Linked DNA regions of Arabidopsis thaliana. The protein of the gene in region 2 interacts with the protein of the main gene of each other region in a pairwise test. Each region holds a gene or a part of one and is shown on either strand. Other genes may lie near its edges.

Region 1 (7,661 bases), on a different chromosome or scaffold from region 2:
CACAGAGCTTCACGAACGCTTCGTTGACGCCGTCACTCACCTTGGAGGCCCTGAAAGTACGTTTTCATCATCATCATCATATACATCTCCCTATATAGATAAACCTTTAAAGCTATATTAATTGCGCTATATATGAGCAGAGGCTACACCAAAGACAATAATGAGAGTTATGGGTGTGAAGGGTCTCACTCTTTATCATCTCAAGAGCCATCTCCAGGTGTATATACCTTCTTCCTCAGTTTCCTCTTCTTTAATTTTTTTGTTATTAGCTTCTTTTATAATCTTGCCGTAGTAATTAGGATTTAAAACATATACTGTATGTGTGTTTCAACTACAGAAGTTCAGACTTGGGAAGCAGCCTCACAAGGAGCATAGTCAAAATCACTCCATTTGTATTAGAGATACAAATAGAGGTCTGTCATAAACTTAATTATTAATTCATATATACATTGGTTAATTAATTCATCTGTGACTATGCCATGAATATATGTTAATTAATAAACATCATGCATGCAGCTTCCATGTTGGATCTTCGAAGGAATGCTGTTTTCACGACTAGTCCGCTCATCATTGGTCGCAATATGAACGAGTATGTGCCTTCAATTCCAAATCCTAACTATATATTGATTCATATATAAATAGATATATTACTCAAAATTTTATAATATAAAAATGGTAATTATGGATGGTAATGAAGGATGCAAATGGAGGTGCAAAGAAGGATAGAGGAAGAGGTAGTAATAGAAAGACAGGTGAATCAAAGGATAGCGGCACAAGGGAAATACATGGAGAGCATGTTAGAGAAAGCATGTGAAACCCAAGAAGCAAGCCTCACTAAAGACTACTCTACTCTATTTTTCGACCGCACCAATATTTGTAACAACACATCGTCCATCCCAATCCCATGGTTCGAGGATCATTTTCCTTCCTCTTCCTCCATGGACTCTACGTTGATTCTCCCCGACATCAATTCCAACTTCTCCCTACAAGATTCTAGGAGTTCCATCACTAAGGGCCGTACGGTTTGTCTCGGTTAGAGAAGAGATATATCAAATATAGATCTAGCTACTTGACTCTTTCTTCTCTAGTTTCTAATGCGCACTTGGTGTATAAAATTATGCACAAAATTACTTGTAATAACTTATGCCAAACATATGAAGTCTTCGTTATTCCCTTGATCTATATATGCGATGATGTGGAACGTATGCTGCCTCATGATTATCACAACTCTTGTGTTTTGTTATATATGTGTTCACTTGCACAATGATACATATATTTTACTCAATTTGGACAATTCTATAGTTCTAAATTCGATCCTAGTTCTCACAACCTGATTTCTTGTTTTTTGTTCTTCGGATGGTTTTGTTTTTTCTAGAAGCCCATGATATATGAATTTATATATTTTAAAGTCACATCCATTTACATGCAAAATCTCTCCGGTCAATTTTTGTTTATAAAAGTTTATATGCACAATTATAACCGATCAATCTTGCGTCTTTCTATCTAGTCACTTTTCTAGCCATCATCACCACCCACCGATACTGGCCTGTTCATCTCCAGTAGTCTTAAATAGAATATCACTGCAGTACTTGCAGGCTTTTGTGAAAATTTTGCCATTTCATGGAATTATGGAAAATTTGAATTTATCCATGTGCATTCTAATAATTCTGTACTAGTCCGATAATTGAAATTAGGGCCGAAAGCCTAAAACTAGAAAAGCCCATTCCTATATCAGGTCCCCCCCCCCCCCCCCCTCCTTAAATGGTCAAAAACTCGAATTATATTTGAGGGTTCATAGACCTGTAAACCAGCTAGAGAGAGTCTGGTAATGTTGTATTCTCAAGTCTTAAGTATGTCGGTTGACGAGTCAATGGAAGTCTTATGGATCCGAAACGGTCAAAAATGGATGTAATTTTTTAATCTTTTGTAAGGACTGCGCTGGTACATAACTTAAAGATAAGATTGGACGATGGAGTAAATATGTTGTTTGTTTTCTCTCACACTTCATCAGTTTTCAGATCTTTGTTATTATTCGTTGTTGCTCACCTTTTATTTCTAACAAAAATAAGTTAATGTAATTACATTTACATGTCTCATTTTTACTTTTAACATCATATACAAGTTCATCATATACTACCTTTTAAGCTGAAATATAATTACAAACAAAATAAGGAGTCTTAATTTTTTGTTTTAAAAACAGATCACAATGATGTAATGTTGAAAAATGTAAATTAATCTGCTACGTCAAACTAAACGTTGGTAATTACACACAATGACACAAAATAAGTAAAAACAATCCAGATCACAAATGCTGTAATGTTGATCACGTTGAAAAATGTAAATTAAACTGCTACGCTAAACTAAACATTTGGTAAGTAAATTAGAAATTTTGTACAAAGAAAGACAACACCAAAAGAGCTACGTAGTATATATAGAGCTTCTTATTTACTACTCCGACATTTAAATCACGTACGTGTCTTTTGCAACTCATGAATCATGATAAGTGATTACCCAGTTATTATAGCTTTTCACGAAAATGAATTGTGTTACATCATTCTGACTTCATGATGTCAAATTAATACCAGAATGGCCCAAAATTTGCCTCTTATTTCTTTAATTTTAGAATTTTTAAACAAAAAGATTACCAAGTGGTCTAATTCCATCAGTTTACTCAGGGTTAGGGTTTATCAATATTTAATTGCAAGAAAAAAGACTGAAAGAGAGGACTACGTTATATTAATGGAAACCTAGAACAAGTGTATAGTTAAATATACGAAGCTTCATCTACACAAAGATTTTTACATATACGGTAATTAACAGCGACGTCTTTATATTATTATGTTAATTAACCGCTTTCTCCCTACCCATTAGTTTATTCTTACGTTTAACTTGACGGGTTCAAATAAACGTTGCGTTGTACACCTATCTCTCTCTTTATCTATTAAGCTTGACGCGTACGTGGCTTACTTAAGAGGACATGTTATTCGGAAGTTCCAGGGAAAGATCCAATTTACTAGTAGTTGAGATTAGGTCGGAATTTTTATGCAATCGTGCTCCCTACTTTACCTCTAATTTTAACTAATTTGTTAGTAAATGAAAACGTATTTACGGATGGCAATACTATTTATGATTCCAAATATCCAAAATTGAGTGCTCATTCGCTTCTACGACTGTTCAACAAGCTAACACATTTGCAGAAAAGTCTCCCATGATGACGATAAAAGTAGCAGACTGGGACAAAAATTTATGAGCATATATAAGTACAAGTTATACGTGAAGGGGTAGTAAAACCCAACGAGTCATTCTACTATTTTCTTACCAATGATCCGAAATATTTGTGAAGTCTAGTAGACAACAAGTAATGAGTGAAACAGAAACTAAAAACTAGTAATGAGTGTCCTGGTTAAAGCATACATATATAAGATCATTAAACCATTGCATTAAACTAAACTGATAATTATAGGATTTTAAGCATGCAATGTATGACAATAACTAGAAACACAAGTTAACGAGATACATAGATGATTTTGTTAAGGAAAGTGACGTGAACTACTGGTGTCTCTAATCAGGCTTCCATTTGAAGACACACAGAGAAAAAAAGAGAAACGACACAAGTTTGGTTAATCATATATAGTAGATTAATTCTCCCAAGAAAGATATTAGTACTGATCAGGGAAAATACATCAAATAGTGACCACCCTGCTGGTTAATCAACACCAAGAGACCTTGTAATATATAAGTTAGGAAGATGAGAGAGAAGTGGGAAATGAAAAGAGATGAAATGGGACATCGATGTTGTGGAAAACACAAAGTGAAGAGAGGTCTTTGGTCTCCAGAGGAAGACGAGAAGCTTCTTCGTTATATCACCACTCATGGTCATCCTAGTTGGAGTTCCGTTCCAAAGCTTGCCGGTTTTGTATCTTCTATCTCTACTTCCCTTTTCTTTTTACTATTTTTTGTTCATGAGTCTAAACATACAACATGTGAAAAAATAATAGTCTTTCAATTCAAAACTAATTAGCAATGAGTGAATTAGCCTATGTTTTTTATATACTATATGCTCGATGTGGATTAATCCTAACAGTATCTATATGTGTGTATAGGGTTGCAGAGATGTGGGAAGAGTTGCAGATTAAGGTGGATAAACTATCTAAGGCCTGATCTGAGGAGAGGTTCGTTTAATGAGGAAGAAGAGCAGATTATCATCGACGTACATCGTATTCTTGGTAACAAATGGGCTCAGATTGCTAAGCACTTACCTGGACGCACTGATAATGAAGTCAAGAACTTTTGGAACTCATGCATTAAGAAGAAACTTCTTTCTCAAGGCTTAGATCCTTCTACACATAATCTTATGCCTTCACACAAAAGATCTTCTTCTTCAAACAATAATAATATCCCCAAGCCAAACAAAACGACGTCCATCATGAAGAACCCTACTGATCTTGATCAATCAACCACTGCTTTTTCAATCACAAACATCAATCCACCCACTTCCACTAAACCAAACAAACTTAAATCTCCTAACCAGACTACAATCCCATCTCAAACCGTGATCCCTATCAATGATAACATGTCAAGTACTCAAACCATGATCCCTATCAATGATCCCATGTCAAGTCTTTTAGATGATGAGAATATGATTCCTCACTGGTCAGATGTTGATGGAATGGCGATCCACGAAGCTCCGATGTTGCCTAGTGATAAGGCAGTAGTGGGAGTGGATGATGATGATCTCAACATGGACATTTTGTTTAACACTCCTTCTTCTTCTGCTTTTGATCCTGATTTTGCTTCCATTTTCTCCTCTGCAATGTCTATCGATTTCAATCCCATGGATGATCTTGGCAGCTGGACCTTTTAGCTTTTACTCTACAATATTTTCATTTTCTCAAGTGTATATATATGAATAATTGCCACTTTCTGCTTTTCACTAGTTTTGAAAAGCTGAGAATTTTCCAAATCAGTGTCTCATTTTTTTCTCCATCAATCCCACTAAGACTTTGTTATGTGCAAATTGAAATTTTCACCATCTAATAAAGGCTTTTTGGCTAATCTATACTTGCACCGCCCATATTAACATGCGCCTAAATGGGCTATGTTAATTGTAAATATGGGTGTGAGATTCAACCAATAAAGAAAGTAGCCCACTAGAGGCCCAATAGATTCAATAAGTGTCTTGCGTTCGCGCGCTATGATTGATGAGAGACTACACGGCGGTATTCCATTGAAATAATAATGCTAGTTTTTAATGAAACTTCGTGGGAAGAGCGAAGGCAAAGAGGGAACATGTTACATTGCCACACCACATTCTTCTAATTAAATTGCGGGCGTACACTTGTACATGAATATGCATACAGGTGTTGAAAAGGTCAAATTATAGTAATCAGAAGAAAAGATTCACAAAATGGGAATCCAATTATTACGTCCCGCGTTTGATTGAAATGAACAATACGGATGAAGCAAACATAATAATCTCATGAATATTGAAATGATTGAGGAGCAAGCAACACGAAGACCGACACCGAGGCACAGTAGATCGAGAATAAAGGACATGTATTAAGTAGTGTTTATTATTATAGTATTGGTAATAATGTATATACAAGATAAGTGGAACCACATGGTCTGTCTCCTTATCTTCATCGTAAACACTTTAGTTACTTAGGATTTGGTCCTTTAATTTCATCAAGTTCACCACAATTTCTCTTCTACTTCTTTCGACCTACATGTATAAATAATGTTAACATTTGCATTTCATAGAAAATCTAATTGTACATGAAGAGATAGATTATATATGGAAAGTAAATGAAACGAGAACGACAGTAGATGCGGTGACATACAATTGAAAGAAAAATACTTGAATAAGTTGTTGACTAAAATACTAATATACAGTTATTCTTGTATATAACAGAATTGCCTTTGGAAAATATGGGTTTAATGTTTGATTAAAAATCTCACAAAACAAAAAAATTGCTGCTAAAAAAATCACATAATATCGGATACCAACCATAATTTTTAAATATGACAAATATAAGAAAGCAGCCTAAAATGATACAAGAAAGAATATCGAAGTACCAAAAGAAAAGTAAACACAAATAGTTAGGGGAAGACTTAAAGGTCACATGGGATGATTTGGTGGCATCATTGCATCAAATCCTGCACATGCTCTGCTTCTTCTCTTTTCTATATTCCTTCTCTCTTTTTATTTTGTTGTTACTTGTTGTCAATACTAATACAAAATTTATCCACACGGTTTTATTTTTAGAATAATGTTCACATATTATTATTACGAGTATATAACTACCTTTCAATTCTCTCTGCCTCTCATAGTTAATATATATACGTTCACAATCACTTCTCTTCTCTATTTCTTATTCATTATCTCAACCCTCTCTCTCTCTCTCTCAGTACAACTTATCATCCATCACCATATATAGAGAATATGAGCAAAACGGAAGCAATCAGCTTGACCAAAAGGGGAATGTTGCCGCCAAGTAGTTGCAATAGCCTAATGGACCGCTCTGAGTCCCTTAAGAGGGACAGTGTGATGGGCAATGGTGCAGCCAAAGTGAGAGGAAGCTTGGAGCGCAAGAAATCAAAGAGTTTTAAGGAAGGAGATAGTTATTCTTCGTGGCTCATAACGGAGGCTCCTGGGAGTATAGCCGCCGTGAGGAGAGAGCAAGTGGCGGCACAACAAGCACTAAGGAAACTAAAGATTGCTCATTACGGTAGATCCAAATCAACCATTAATTTCACTTCTTCCAAAGTCGTCCCTCTTCTTAACCCTAACCCTAACCCTCATCCTCAGAGATGCAGCTTCCTCACCCCCACTTCTGGTATAAACCTATTTCTCTCTTTATTACTTGTTTGTTTTCCGGTTAATGTTAGTTAATTTCACTTATGAACTGATTTTATTAAGTTTCACCCTCTTAATTTCCATTTTGGTATTGTTTGAATCAGCTTAAACCCCTTGTATATTATTTTAAGTTTTCTTTGTAACTTTAGGTTCCATCTTATAAAATACTTGGATTCCTAACTGATTTGTTTGGTTACCTTTAGATCCTATTTACGTGGCCTACCATGATGAAGAATGGGGAGTTCCAGTTCATGATGACAAGTGCGTGACATAATTAATACTTCTTTCCAAATGAAAACGTCATTGTACATTAGTTCATTTTGTTCAAAATTAAATTAGTTATGTTAAATTTTCAGGACGTTGTTCGAACTGCTGACCCTAAGCGGCGCACAAGTAGGCTCCGATTGGACTTCAACCTTGAGAAAACGCCATGACTATAGGAAGGCCTTTATGGAGTTTGAGGCGGAAGTGGTTGCCAAACTCACCGAGAAAGAGATGAATGCAATAAGCATCGAATACAAGATAGAGATGAGCAAAGTGAGAGGTGTTGTGGAAAACGCTAAAAAGATCGTAGAGATCAAGAAAGCGTTTGTGTCATTAGAGAAATACCTTTGGGGATTTGTGAACCACAAACCAATCTCCACGAACTACAAGCTTGGACACAAGATTCCGGTCAAGACATCGAAGTCGGAGAGCATCAGCAAAGACATGGTTCGTCGAGGCTTCCGGTTCGTGGGTCCCACTGTGGTTCACTCATTCATGCAAGCCGCTGGTCTTACAAACGACCACTTGATCACTTGCTGTC
Region 2 (8,152 bases):
AACTCATTTTTGTTTAAAATTGAAAAAAAAAAAAAAAAGTATTTTAGTTTTCAGGATAATAACTAATGATTCTCTGTCCTGCGCGGGAGAGTTTTTGTGACGCTTTACAAAGCCCACTCAGGCCCATTGATCAAACTTGATAAAGCTTAAGGTCGAATGAATCATTTACTCAACTAATGTTAGCTCAGAATCAGATAGGAATAATAGGAAGACGATGATCAAACATTTCCAATGTAATTATCTGAACCGACCAGTTTATAGGGGTCTCAAGTCTCAACAACAATCAACTGAATATAATAACTGAGACCGTAAAACAAAAATGCAAAGGTCAAAAAAAGACAAGTCACAGAAGAATACAAAAAAGGACATGGACTCATGCCCACAAAGAAGAGTGGTGAGAATAATGTCATAAGAAAAAGCTTCAACGAAGAGCAAAACTATTTTTGAGTTCTGAGAATCCTTTTCTCCTCCTCCTTCAAGCTTACAACACAACATTCATCGCACAAGCATAAGACCCAGAGAGAGCAAAATCGTCAAGTAATGATTCCTTTTACAGATTCCGACAAGCCTCTATGTCTGCAGCCTGTGAGGCCAACAAGGACTTCCCCTGCTCGCTTGACTCCACAATGCGTACAGCTGCATCGACCACCATCTTCTGGAACCTATCGTCTTCCATCTTCCCTATAATTTCTCTAACCAATTTGAAATCCACACCACCAGCCAGAATCAGCTTTCCCACAATCTCACCAAAATTGTTTGGTGCCTTAGGAAGATCAATTCCAATGTCGTCCAACATAGCACCGTAGAGCAAGAACCCAGTTTCAAGATCCTTGGGTGCGACTACCTTCTTTGATAACAAATACTCCAAGAGTGTAGCAATTGGCTCAACGACAGGCGGGCTTTTCTCAAGAGACAGGGATATTGCTTCCTTCACAAACTCTGGGTGATATGACGGCAAACCAAGCTCCTCTACACACTGCAGAGCTTCACCAAGTAGTCGGACATTGAAATATTCCTCGAGAAGCGACTTTGTTTTTCTTTGGAGCACTTCTTCGCTCAACTTGGGACCACTAGGCTGTGGTTTCTCCACCGGAACTGGTACGGTCAGAGGTGCAACTGACTGTGCTGGCCGTTCTGCTGACACGGTAACTGGACGCGACACTGAACCACTTCCCTGCAACAGTGCGCTTGTCTTGCCACTCATAATGCCACTGCTGCCTTGAGGTAAGAGCCTCGTGTTCATTGAGGCCGACTTGCTCACTGCTGGAGAATGTAGAGGTCCTGGCCCATCGCGTCTAGACATTGATCTTGTCCGGGGTACCTCCCAGTTATCATTGTCCACTCCGGGCATCCCAGGCATCCTTCGCGTCCCAGGCATACCAGGCATCAAGCCACCCGCACCAGGTCGCCCACCAGGGTAGACAGGGCCAGGGCTCACAGGCCCACCACTAGAAACCATACCCCTTCTCATATTTGCAGTGGCACCTGGTCGGAGACCAAGATTCTTCTCTGCCTCAGTATGTATTTCGGTTATAGTTCTTGCTTTCATCTGCACGAGTAATGTAAATAGAACATTAGAATCACTACACAATGGAGCAGGAAACAAGTCTCAACCTTGTAAAACCTAGAATACCTCTTCCCGCCTTGGAACCCAGCCATTGGAGCGCATGTCGATGATATTCTGAACCATGAATCTCAGACGCAGTTCCAACTGAGGATTCTTTGACAGAGCCTGTAGGCGTTTGAAATATACATCATTAATCCGTTTTGACTTCACGTTTCCGTCAAGTTGTTTGCCAATAGTTTTGAAGAAATGACAAATAGCTTCGACATTTTCCTCGGCTGGACAAACTTTCTCATCGGCCCCCAGAAGCTCCTGTGCACAGAACAAATTAAGAAAGGTTAATGCTAGATACCAAAATAAAAGAAGTCTAAGAAAATGTGTAAGCTTATAGGTGTTAACCTGAACAATGTGATGAACAATCTTTTCTGGGACCATCTTCTGCTTCAAAAGCTCACCAATCAAACGAATATTTCCTAGAGTCTTGAGCTTCAACAATTTTTCTTTGTCATTCCGCTCAGCCTCCTGATCTGGAGCACTCATCTGTCTAAGCTCCTCCCTCAACTGAGAAGCGCCCTCAAATGCCTCTTGACAGATATTCAGTAGAACCCTCTTAAATGTAATCTCCTTATCCCCAGGCTCTGCAGGTGGGAAGGTGGGCAGCTGGTCGTTGATATCAGAGCACAATTTTGCATACATAGGGCAAAAGGTCGGCTCAAGGACAGCTTTGTCAAAAATAAGGGTAATCACACCCTACAAATGAAAGAAAAGAACACGGGTTAGCCACACAAACAGCCTAGATGATTCAAACAAGACTTCATCTATGCTTGAGACATAGCATACACCTTCAGGATATCAGCAGATGTGATGCCAGATTCAATAAGTTGGCCCTTGAGAAGGTCATACTTTTCAGGGGTTAGCTTGTTCAGTATCCTGGACAAGAAAAGTATATCTTTGTAAGTGTGCATAGTCTATTTTAAAGATTTCATGTTGGCAGTAAAGGAAAGTTATACAAAAGTCTAGACAACTAATAACTGTCACAACGGCATTACCCTTTCACAGTCTTCAGAACACGATCATTTTCAGAAAGGTTTCCTCTTCTAGCTGACCAAGGAACTTCGGCTTTGACGAGGACAGGAGCTGGTCCACCCTGGTTCCACACGATATACAAATAAGTAAGAAAAATAAGAAATCATGCCAGAATGTAAAGGGCTAAGAAGAGGGAAAAACATTCATCTATTGATCAATTACCCCTTGGTTGGATGATATGTTTGCCCTTGAAAACTGGGAATTAGGTTGGTCTTGACGATTATATTGACTTGCTTCAACATACCTGGAATCTTTAGCTTCACGAAGATTATCCCACGACCTTTCCTCCCCAGAGGGTGGAGGTTGAGTAGAACGGCTACGCCAATCACGAGAGTCTGGCTCAGAGAAGCGACTTGCGGATTGAACGGGAACCTGAACCATTAAAATAAAAGATATGTGTTAAAAGTGAAACTTCATGAAACTATACCAAAATGCAAAATTTATGTTTCAACAAAACTATACCAAATTGCTTACGACACTTTCTCCACGTGCCCAAGTCCCTTCCTCACCAAACAGTTCAGCTGCAGTTTCCCGTTGGACTCTCAGAATTTCATCAGAGAGTTGAGTGGTCTGTATATATGCACAGACGTCAATGACCTCAACTAAGGAAGAACAAATACGAACAGCAGAAACTAAACCGGCTTTAATCCTATATTATTTAACTGGGATAATCACCTCTTTAAGCTCCAGGAGCTGCTCACGGGTGTACTTCACACGTTCACGGCCATCGAACCTCGAGTCTCCACCCTGAAACAAAAGCACAACCCAGGATAAATCTTCATTAACTAACACCCAATACACAAAATCATATAAGAAATAACGTATAAAGGAGACAAGGAACCACGAGTACTCAGTACAAAAGAAAGAGAGGAATAATTCTTTAACCATAAGGCCGAAATGAGTGATGAACTAAAGAAAAACTAGAAGAAATGTCAGTAGGTCCTTTATGAGCAAATAGCAGCTAACAAAATGCCCACCTAAAAGCCTACATATCATTATACGTCCATATTTACAGCAGAAACACATACTTGCGTGCGCCACTAAGAATCAGGACAAACAAACTGCTTGCATTACTCGTATTGACATATAAACCTATGAAGTTCAATTATGTATGTTGCAGACACCTATCAAAATCCAACATGAGCTCAGTAGTTATTACAAACACAAAGCATTAAAACTCGCAAATCAGAAAGATATTAGCCAATTCAGACATTTGAGAGAATCAAATCAGCAATATACCAAAGATTATAATTCCAAACAAAAAGGCTGCTGATTGCGACAAACCCGTAAAAAAGGATAAATTTTTAGCTCAAGCTAAGACAAGAGAGATAAAACAAATTCTAAATCAGAGGAAGAAGAGGGAGTTAGATCCAAATTTAGAGAGGGGACCCAGAAATGAGGGTACCTTGAAGGGAAAAGAGGAAGCAGGAGCACCACCATGAGGACGAAGGAGAGGTAGATCCGAAGATGAAAGAGAGCCAAAAGAGAGAGACGAAGAAGAAGAAGAGGAACCAAATAGTCTGTTTCCTCGACCGCCACCAGGTCTCAAGCTCAGAACCGTTTGATCGCCTTGCTGCATACCTCGATCTAATCCGCCTTAAGATCGAATCGAATCTCACAACAAAAATCGAAGAGAAAGGTAGAAGCTTTATCAGCGACGATGAATCGCTGACTCCGATAATCCAAGGAGAGGAGGGATCGGATTTCTGGGTCTCTCTCTCTCCTGCCGTTAGCGAAGAAGAGAAGAGAAGAGAAAAGTTGAGATTGAGAAATGAGAAGAAGAAGAAGAAGTCGAGAAGGAGACACAATCCCTTCTCTTTATTAGGGTTTTTTTCCTCTCTTTTTCCCGAACCAGACACACTTATAGCCTTAACGTTTTTTTCCGTTAAGATTACAGTTATGTCCTTTCATTTTGTTTTTTTGTCTCTTTATTTTGTCACCCTCATTGGGTTTTCCGTCAATGAACAATGTCAAATGGTAATAATGGAGCTTCCTCGGCTCGTGTTAGCTGCACCTCTAGCTCATTGTAAACATATTAAGAGACTGTAAAAACTACTAATCTGGCAAGTTGCAATCAAACTTCCACATCTCAATATCTTTACTTACAACAATTGTCTGTAACAAACTAAAGAGGCGTTAACACAAGCAGAGACGCAAAAGAAACAACTTCTGGCGTTTATAGACTCCTCCTTGTGTTTTGAATCAATACCTTCTCCTGAAGTTTCCTTGATACAGTAAGCAACTCTTCATGAAAGTGAGAAGTCGGTGGGCTGTGCAATGTTGACATCCTCAAACTCGTTATCATCTGCACATGGAAAAAAGAGATGCAATGCAATCATTATGCCGTTCATAGCTGTATAGATTCAGAATGCAATACAGCATCCTCAACAGTTGTGTAATCGAAACAAGGCTAAAAGAATAATAAGATTAGGAATCACATTCAGCTATATCACGGTCACAAAAGTTAGGCAAGACTCTTAAACATACCAAAAGATTATCCAGTGATAACAAAATAACTAAGATTCACAATAACAGGCTCAATTGAAGTCAATGGAGTTTGAAGGGTTCATATACCAAATAACATATAGAAAGATGAAGTGTGATAAGTAATTAACCAAGATGCATGATCCATTACGACATTTCAACAAGGAATTGAAAATTTCAGAATAAGAGGATCTAAGGTATAACCTTTCTTCAAAGTCAAAGCCACAACTGCATCATTCTCAACCTGAACAACCAAAAAAGAAGATGGTGACAAGCTTATAACTTTCAAATACACGCAAACGGAGGCAGTGGCTATGTGACCAAGTTCTTCTTTTAAACTTGAGCAATGACTCAAAAGATAAATATATTAGATAGTCAAACGTGTGATACCTTCTGATCTGCTAAGGATTTCGAATCCTCTAATACTTCTTCGGTAGACATTAAGACCAGACGCTGATTGTTAACTGGTTGCTCAATGAGAGCAAACAGTTTTTGCTTAACATCCAAAACAGTCTCTGTTGGATCACATTGGATAAAGTAAGTAGTTTTCATGCGCTTCACACGAATATACATAGCCTGCAAACAATATTACACAAGACTAATCAATACTACAACCAATATGGCCAAAATCTAACTTGTTCGATTGATTAAAGCAAAATTATTGCAAGACAAAAGTATCTCAACTTTTATTACTCCAAGAAGAACAGTAATAAATGTGATCAGGAAGCTGGAATTAAGAAGGGAAAAGATGTTCTCATTCCAAAAACATCTCTACTTCCCGTCAAATAAGCAAAGGATTGAATATACTAAGAACAATCAAACCCATCAAAGTGAACAAAAGAAGTAGAATGTTTACCATGGCAAGATAAGGATGAACAATTCACTCTTCTTCCGCTGCCGATTCACAAGACTTTAGAATCAAAATCTGTTCTAAGATGCCAATAAAAGATTAATCAGACTATCAGTGACAATTGACACACCTCAAAGAGTCAATTTAACTAAAGAGATGATCTAGTTATCCCCCAAATCTTTTCTTCTTTTGATATTCAAAAGAAAAGAAAAAAAAGCAAAGATTTTCAAAAATTACTGACTCAAATAACAAACAATGAAATCGACTTACCTAGATGGGTTAAGGACGAAAAAGTGACCACAAGAATGGATTAAGGATGAAATACTGGCAAAGAAATCAAAGTTGGCTTTTTTATAACTCGAGCTCAGAGCCCTACAAGGTAAGGAAGGAAGAAGAAAAATACCACTTTGGTGGCTTGTTTGGCTACAGATATAATACTAACATCGATTAGGCGTCGTACAAAACCCACTAAAAGACAGAGAGGGTTTGTTTTGTTTTAGGCTTTTATTTTTGATTGATTGAATATTAAAATACAATGCGAAAAGTCATATTGGGCTTATGGGCCGAATAACTTTATTTTATTTTTGTGGTGAAGTTAGGCCCAAATATTTTTTCGTCTTCTTCCAGTTCACGACTGAGATAATAATAATGCAAAGCAAGTTGCTATTTCCGAATGATCTCTCTCTCTCTATTCTTTTGAGTCCCAAACCCCATGGCAGGTTTGTCGCTGGAGTTTACAGTTAACACTTGGAATCTCAGGTCTCTCTCTCAAGTTCCATGTCCTTTAAGACATGGCTTTCGATTCCCGCGTCGGTTGACACGAAGAAGAACGATTCTCATGTGTTCTGGTTCGACATTTCTACCTTGTGTTCTCTCTTTTCTGATTTTTCTTCTGGATTGTGATTGGTGATGCATTTATTATAATCTTTTTAGGGTAATGTACACTTATTACCCTAAAAAAGAGATCAATTTGTTGATCGTTAAATTCCATAAGTGTTCTGGAATTGATGACAAAAATCTGCATTCGTTTCTCCACAGATTCAAGCTCTCAGTCGTGGAATGTTCCTGTTTTATCTAGCTATGAGGTAATTATGGTTTCTCTTTTATGTCTGTACTTATCAATCATATCTTTAACTCTTGAAACTGTTCACAATTTGTTAGCTAGAGATGTTTATTGACACAACCACCAGACATTTCTGTGTTTTGTCAATGAAATTATAGATGCAGCCCGTAATGAAGGATTGCGACATTTGTTTGTTATCCGTTTATGTTTAGAGGCGTTGATTGATTGAGTATCAGTGAAGTATGTTTGGTTTAAAAGGTTGGTGAGAGGCTAAAACTAGCAAGAGGAGGACAACAGTTCTTGGCCATGTACTCAAGTGTTGTTGATGGAATTACAACCGATCCAGCAGCGATGGTTCTTCCATTGGATGATCACATGGTTCACCGTGGTCATGGAGTCTTTGACACTGCCCTGATCATCAATGGGTTAGTCACTTTAAATAGTAGCCCCCTTTTCTAATTTGTCTTATTACTCAATCATCTGAGCTTCGCTTGTTGTCCTACGAATAAGCAGATACCTTTATGAATTGGATCAGCACCTTGACCGTATCTTGCGATCTGCATCAATGGCTAAGATCCCACTTCCATTCGATCGAGAAACTATTAAAAGAATTCTCATTCAAACCGTGAGCGTTTCTGGATGTAGAGATGGATCTCTAAGATACTGGCTCTCTGCAGGGCCAGGGGATTTCCTCCTATCTCCATCTCAATGTCTCAAACCAACTCTCTATGCCATTGTTATAAAAACGAACTTCGCCATTAACCCAATAGGTGTCAAGGTAGTGACCTCGTCCATCCCCATAAAGCCTCCAGAGTTTGCCACGGTGAAAAGTGTTAACTACCTCCCTAACGTACTCTCACAAATGGAAGCTGAGGCCAAAGGAGCTTATGCAGGTATTTGGGTGTGTAAAGATGGGTTTATTGCAGAAGGCCCGAACATGAATGTGGCGTTTGTTGTTAATGGTGGTAAGGAGCTTGTGATGCCGCGGTTTGATAACGTTTTGAGCGGATGTACAGCAAAGAGAACACTTACACTCGCTGAACAGCTTGTAAGCAAGGGGATTCTTAAAACTGTGAAAGTAATGGATGTGACAGTCGAAGATGGA

Evidence for each region.
Region 1: the proteins of AT5G57860 (region 2) and MYB67 interact in a two-hybrid assay, tested with the Arabidopsis thaliana proteins (2 studies listed by BioGRID).

The regions. Positions count from the first base shown.
Region 1 is NC_003074.8:4,040,610-4,048,270, reverse strand, and holds MYB67 (myb domain protein 67), read left to right. Parts: upstream 1-3,555; 5' UTR 3,556-3,748; coding exon 3,749-3,911; intron 3,912-4,103; coding exon 4,104-4,864; 3' UTR 4,865-4,983; downstream 4,984-7,661. Other genes in the region: AT3G12730 (Homeodomain-like superfamily protein), read left to right, coding at 1-56, 141-217, 338-413, 517-589, 698-1,037; AT3G12710 (DNA glycosylase superfamily protein), read left to right, coding at 6,443-6,836, 7,060-7,117, 7,213-7,661.
Region 2 is NC_003076.8:23,435,832-23,443,983, reverse strand, and holds AT5G57860 (Ubiquitin-like superfamily protein), read right to left. Parts: upstream 6,431-8,152; 5' UTR 6,255-6,430; intron 6,065-6,254; exon of another isoform or gene 6,029-6,064; 5' UTR 5,994-6,028; coding exon 5,991-5,993; intron 5,711-5,990; coding exon 5,525-5,710; coding exon of another isoform or gene 5,510-5,524; exon of another isoform or gene 5,379-5,509; coding exon 5,339-5,378; intron 4,956-5,338; coding exon 4,897-4,955; 3' UTR 4,581-4,896; downstream 1-4,580. Other genes in the region: MPS1 (multipolar spindle 1), read right to left, coding at 1-7; eIFiso4G1 (MIF4G domain-containing protein / MA3 domain-containing protein), read right to left, coding at 551-1,549, 1,634-1,876, 1,964-2,314, 2,407-2,494, 2,614-2,711, 2,813-3,022, 3,113-3,220, 3,326-3,397 and 1 more; ADCL (D-aminoacid aminotransferase-like PLP-dependent enzymes superfamily protein), read left to right, coding at 6,697-6,832, 7,023-7,069, 7,306-7,472, 7,561-8,152.